Linked DNA regions of Daphnia pulex. The protein of the gene in region 1 purifies or fractionates together with the protein of each later gene. This does not show direct contact. Links are inferred from orthologs where the notes say so. Each region holds a gene or a part of one and is shown on either strand. Other genes may lie near its edges.

Region 1 (3,953 bases):
ATGACAGAGGAATTTCTTATGCGATCTTTTGAATTAATGGGAGAAAAACCTGAAGCCATCAAAGTCATGAGAAATAAGCACACTGGATTACCTGCTGGTTTTGGATTTTGTCAGTTTCGAGATGAAAAGCAAGCAATGGAAGTTCTACACAAATTGAATGGCAAAATCATTCCATACAGTCAGCCGGTAGTGTATTAACTTTTAATTTACCATAATTTATATTAGTTATATTATCTGTTTTCCCACTTTTAGCCAAGCCGTTTCAAGTTAAATCACAGCACAAACACTAAAGGTTCTACAGCCGATCATGCACTGTGGGTGGGAGATTTGAGTGCTGATGTAGATGACTATGGCCTTTACAAATGTTTTTCTGCAAAATATAACTCAGTTCAATTGGCAAAGGGTAATTTGTAAAATTTCTGTAATGATTTTATTGGCAATTATCTGAACTTCTCGTATTTTATGTTTAGTGGTCAGAGGCAGCAATGGAGAAAGTCGCGGCTATGCGTTTGTTAATTTTTCTAATGAAAGTGATTACAAAGATGCGCTGACACATATGCAAGGTCACAGAGGACTCGGCAGCAACCCACTTAGAGTTTCATTGGCTATTCCTCGTAATTACAACATGATACCTGGTAAATGCACGCTTAAACTTTTCTTTGGAGTACATTTCATTTCATACTCTTTTAACTTTTAGGATCCTCATCCAGTACATCTTCTACTTCTACGTTAACTGCATCGATTGCTTCGTCAATTGTCCAGGCCGCAGCCAGCGGCCAGCCAGTTCAACCTCAAGCTGCTGCTGCAGCAGCTGGCTACGGACAGTACGTCGATCCAGCCTATTGGCAACAGTACGGTGGCTGGCAAGGATATGGTTACCAAGGCGGATACGGCTATGATGGTCAACAAGCTTATGCCGGATATGGCGTTGCTGGGCAAATGCCTGCTCAACCTGAAGAAGATGAGTTTGAGCTCATAGAACACAATACACCCGTCGATATTGAGAAACTGAACAGAGAACTTTTTGAGCGCAATCAGGATTTGTGGGATGCACTAGATGAAGCTCGCTGGACAACATTCAATCCAGAGAAAGCCGTTCCGGCAGTTAAAGCTGAGGAAAACGGAAGCAGTACTCCTACAGTAGTGGCCGCCTAATTTCTTTTTATAAAACACTATTGACCATCTCATACGATAAAAAAACAAAGATTCATTTCTGCTTGTCATCTGATTTTGTTTTACAGAATGAATACATTGATTTCAAATAAATACAGATTTCCAATTCTTTCACTTTCTGTATTATCTAGTATATTTAATTATTGACATGATTCTACACCCATAAAACATTTCCTCCACCCACATTTTTTAAAACATGCACTCTTACTCAATCGTAAATCACGACATACTTTCTTTTTTCCGCTAGGTGTCACTTTACTACCCAATAGCAGTCGAAAAAAGTTGAGCGTCATTAGTTCACAGCCGGGCAAACATCAGCAATTGTTTTCATTGACTTCACGAGAAACATTTCTAGATAGCTCGAAATTATCTGTTTTCGGCATTTTCTTGACCGTAATTGAACTTTGGTTCAGCAGTATTCTAGCACAAAATGGCTTCAGGAGGCAGAGTACCAAATAATTCAACTTCCTTATCCTTACATGAAAGGTATAAATCATTAGGCAATTTGGGTTTGTTATGTCGTATATGCGATTGAAATAGTTGTTTGCCGCAATTTTCCCCCTGTTAAACATTGAATTTCCTTGCTTTTATAAAGTATGTGTTGATTTTCTTCTCATTTGCTGATTTTTAACGCATGAAAATTTTTCGTTACAGATTCTCCAAATTACGAAGCTCAGCAGGGGGTCAGAAATTGGCTGGAAAACTGCAAGGGGCTAGAAATAATGCAGCTAATCTTCAAAAGGCATCAAGCAAGAATAGCAGACTAGCTCAACAGATGGAAAGACGAAATGCATCAGTCAGTGCTGCTTTGAAACTGAAAAAGGTGCAATTCCTCGTTTTTAATTCATAACCAGATATACTTACATCATTTATACTGTTATTCAGAAAAGCATCAAACAACGCCTTGGAGCCACAGTAAACACCAGTACTCGATTTCGCGGAACGGCCACCCAAACTCAAAGGAGACTCACAACCAATCGTGGAGCTGGTCGCGGGAGTCAGTCGCGAGGATCTCTGCGAGGAAGTCGAACGCAAGGGCAAACGGTCACCCCAACAAAGATAATTCGAGGCCGGGGCGGACTGAAGCCCATTGTCAGCCAAACAATCGTTCGTGGCGGTGGACAAGGAAACAAGAGAAGCACTCGCGGAAGAATCATTTCTCCATCGAAAAAGCCAGCCCCCGTTGCTGCCACAACCAATCGTTCGCCGACCAAACCTTCGCGTGCTAGAGGCAGCGTGAGAGGAAGACGAGGTGGTCGAGGGCAGATGACATCTTCATTGATTACCGGGCAAGCTGAAAGTCGTATCCAGCGTGGAAGAGGAAGAGGACGAGGCCAACGTGGTGGTAAGGGACCCAGTCGTGGAGGAAGCAGCTTGCCGACATCTCCGCGCGGTCAGACATCCGGACGTGGTCGAGGGCGTGGTCGAGGTGGCTCTACCAAGGTCAGCAAAGAAGATTTGGACAAGCAATTGGATCAGTACATGCAAAAGACTCGTAGCGCTCTAGACAATGATATTGAATCCTACATGTCTAAAATTGGGGACGTTGAAATGAATTAAATATGCAATAATCTTTCTCCAGTCGTTACCTCACCTGTGCTGCTCCCCAACTTCAAACGAAAGAACCTTCTTACTAATAACTCCCCTTCGCCAAGTCTTGATTGACTATTAACAATGTTTTAGTCCTTAAAGTTAAAAGTGAATCCAATTCAGAATTTGTCTTTGAGAAAATGGTTGGACTGTTGTGAAGAGTCTAGACAGAAAAAAGAGATTTTGGACAACCTTGTCTTGATTTCATTCTAGCACTTGATTAAATGGTTCTTGTACTTTCCCCCAGTTTTTGGAGTCCCTTTTTGCCGTGTGTTTCTTGCTTTTCCCTCCTGTTACGGCGCACTTAGCACATGTATCTTTTTATAATTCATTCATATTTCATCCGAGGACTTGAGTGTGAAAAGGTGTGCCTGTGAAACGAGAAAGAGAAACTCATCCCAAAAAATACAAATGATTAACCTCAACACTAATTTGATTTTTGTTCCTTCATTTAATCGTCGCTGATCATAGACAAAATTACAACAAATTACTCTAATGATTGGCCAGCAGTAATCAAGCGGGACCGATCGAAGCTAAATTAAATGGATAAGCTACAATTTTCCTACACAACTCAAGTCGAAATCAACTTGCTGATGGGCAACGGAACCCAACGAAAGAGCAACATTGTACAGAGTGTCTGGTGACCATTCGAGTGGGATCCTTGGATAGGTGCCAGCGTTAGGAAGCGAAGGGAAAAGACCCAGTTGACGCAGAAAAAAGCGAAAGGGTTTCGAACTCAATGCGGAGGCTTCCGCTTCCGTCCAAGGGACTATCGGGCATGGCGTATTCAATTTCAAGCTCAAACAGGTAATTGGATGACGGAATTCGTGGTCGGAGTAAATGCCCAAACGTGCTGCACAGGCCGTCAATAAAGACGACTGAATCCAATCGAGTTGTTTCTGAAATCCTATATTTATCGATACATTAGATATAGCTTAAACAAGATGGGGTGTTATAAAAAAATAATAAGACTTACCATCGCCTTTGAGTAGAATAAGTAGCGACTCAAAATCGGTTCGGAGATTTTCAAACTCGTCATCGTCGTTGTTAAAAGTTTGGCTAGTGAGACTTTCAAATTCCATCGAACGCCAATCGTCTTGATTGGAAAATTCACTAGTCTCTCGGTCAGGTGATGTGTTGCCAATTTTGCCACGGCTCAGATTAAATATGTGTACAGCATATGCAATTAG
Region 2 (2,709 bases), on another chromosome or scaffold:
CTAGATTAGTAGATTCGTTCGTAGCTTATTAATGTTCTATGCGTGCAGTTACTTCATTGCACAAAACCTGCTTTTAACAATCCAAAACAAATGGTAGATAATAAATTTATATTTTTTGCTTATTAACTGTAACCACTAAGTGCTGTAGTAGAAGAGAAACACAAAAACAAGACATTCTGCATTAACTTATCAAGATCAGTAAATGGGGAAGCTGAAATTTATATTAAAAATATCGGTGCTACGTGTTTTACGTTCGATTTTGTGACTATGTCAGTGATAAACTTCAAGCCAAATTGCAAACCTATAGGCAAAACTATAAGGCCGATGAGGTAAACAAAGTATGAATAAGGTGGAGTGGAACCAATTGGGCAGATCCAAATTCCATGTCTGTATCCATCCCTCCAATGATGAGTCCAAGTAGCAGTAACAATAATTACAGACATTTTGAGAAGACAGATGGAATGAATTCTGATGGAAAGTAAGGCCAATAGTAGAGCAACAACTGTAAACAGACTTGTGCAATGTAAAACTGGTCTGTGAGGCAGAGATGTAGCTTCCTGTAGAAAATGGGATTTACTCAGATTAAAAAACTTAAACTGGAATTTGTATGAATATTTACTTCAAGACTGGTAGTTCCAACAGCCAAAAAATGATCAATATCAATTGCAGAAGCCATTGATCCACATATAATAATGGCAACAAAATTAATTCTTTTATTGAATGACACATTGTCTACATAATTCCACGAAAGTGATGCTATAAGGAAATGAGTGGCACTATCAGTTATGCATTTAAGTAGTAACGATATGTAGGGGTACATGTACTGGGTGATAGTATCCCCAGCTATAGCTGTAACTGGTATTACAAAAAGGTTAATCCTTTTATAATGCTTCATTTTCTTCATTTTACTCTTCATTTTTCCCGACACAAAATTTAACGGAATTCTTATGGAAAACTGGTTGCCATATCAATTAAGTTTAAACAAAAATTACGTCTCACTTTAAGGCATAATATATACAGATAGCAAAGCAAATTGGGCACTTCTGTTTACGATTTCCCGATTTAATTTTTCTTTATTAATAATGGTTAGAGACGGTATATTATATTTGTTTTGCTGGTTTGTTTTGAAAAGACGGGAAGTTGCCATATTGCCCCTAAAGGCTAAATTATACTATCTTTATTTTATTCGTAAAATAATTTTGATACATGTCAATTTAAACTTCTTTAAAAATTGTAATTATTTTAATTAAATTTTTGGAAGTTAGATATTAACGATTTCTGACTTTATATCTTTTTATTTGTTTCTGACTTCATTGCGCGATTGCATCTATTTTGAAATTATGCAACGTTTTAACAATAGGCTTCTCCAAAAAACTGCACTGAAAGTTTTCCGAGAAAACAAACCTGGATGCGAATTTAAAGATTTTAAAACAACGTTCCAAGACAGAAACAAAAATGGTTAGTTAATTTGAAACAAAAACGCTTCCTGCTGTTGGAATTGATAAGTTAATGTATTTTTCCTATACCACATTTTTAGTCTCACACGATCTTACTAGTCCAGCCCGGACCCAAGCCGGAGACGAGAACGTATTCTGATTATGAATCAGTAAACGAATGTATGGAAGGTGTTTGTAAAATCTACGAAGAGCATTTAAAAAGACTGAATCCAAACACTCCTAGCATCACATATGATATCAGCCAATTGTTTGACTTCATTGATCAGTTGACCGATCTCTCCTGCCTAGTGTAAGGGCTCATTTTATATTATTGAAAAGACACCTTTTGAATTAATGATTAACCCTTAAAAAAATATAATTTTCAATTATTTATTTCATTTCATTGATTTAAATTCTTAAAGGGAACTAATTCCATGTTTATTTTTATTTCAGGTACCAGAAGATCAGCAATACTTATGCTCCATACAATAAGGACTGGATTAAAGAAAAAATCTACATTTTGTTGAGACGTCAAGCAGCTAAAGCTCCTTAATGGGAAATTTCATTCATCTTTCCGTTTATACTTCTGTTTTTCTCTTAACCCCGAAATTGTGACGTTCAATAAAATGTTTCTGACAAAGAGGCAGAACAATCTTAAAACTGTAAATGTGTTGGAAATTGCAATGATTAATTTTATTTCTCCAACTTGTTTTGAAACAGGTTAAACCTCTTTTATCACATTTTATAATATTAAGCTAAGGCCTAAGGCACGGATATGCGTCATTCGGACGTCATTTTCGTCATTCAGTCTAAGGGTCTAAATAAATGAATGTCGCAAATCCTACCAAGTACAAGTAAATAAATATGTTAATTGTTTTTTTTATTTGTATGATGATGTTTTGTTGAACTTTATTACTTAGGCAGAGATCATTTAAAGGGGATGTCCATGAAATAATTCTCTAGAAACAGTGAAACTTACATGGAAGACCATCTAGAAAGCTTAAAGAGAGTAATGAAACATCTGTTGTGTCGGCTGCAATGGTGTGTGCTGTACATGTGTGCATCGTGCATCCAGCTTATTTATAGGTATAAAATTGAGCAAGTTTAATTTACTTCCTATAAGAAGCAACCAATTCAACATGGAACGATTTCTCGTAATGAAGTCGCTGAAATTATTTAGTCGTGCAATATCGACAGTTTCAAAACCAGAGACAATCACAATGCCAAGAAAATGGCACAAAAAAATGGTAAAAGATTTAAACGAAAGACAAGA

Evidence for each region.
Region 2: the proteins of chromatin target of PRMT1 protein-like (region 1) and enhancer of rudimentary homolog purify together in Homo sapiens (affinity purification with mass spectrometry; 3 studies listed by BioGRID and IntAct, with this or other methods). This does not show direct contact. The link is inferred for Daphnia pulex from reciprocal best matches to the Homo sapiens genes CHTOP and ERH.

The regions. Positions count from the first base shown.
Region 1 is NC_060027.1:3,847,258-3,851,210, reverse strand, and holds chromatin target of PRMT1 protein-like, read left to right. Parts: upstream 1-1,447; 5' UTR 1,448-1,603; coding exon 1,604-1,659; intron 1,660-1,827; coding exon 1,828-1,996; intron 1,997-2,058; coding exon 2,059-2,733; 3' UTR 2,734-3,188; downstream 3,189-3,953. Other genes in the region: tRNA selenocysteine 1-associated protein 1-like, read left to right, coding at 1-186, 253-403, 471-635, 698-1,155; protein timeless-like, read right to left, coding at 3,315-3,670, 3,740-3,953. UniProt on the Homo sapiens protein: Plays an important role in the ligand-dependent activation of estrogen receptor target genes. May play a role in the silencing of fetal globin genes.
Region 2 is NC_060018.1:8,869,700-8,872,408, reverse strand, and holds enhancer of rudimentary homolog, read left to right. Parts: upstream 1-1,354; 5' UTR 1,355-1,455; coding exon 1,456-1,458; intron 1,459-1,537; coding exon 1,538-1,746; intron 1,747-1,889; coding exon 1,890-1,989; 3' UTR 1,990-2,103; downstream 2,104-2,709. Other genes in the region: transmembrane protein 267-like, read right to left, coding at 219-557, 620-916; probable ATP-dependent RNA helicase DDX28, read left to right, coding at 2,576-2,709. UniProt on the Homo sapiens protein: May have a role in the cell cycle.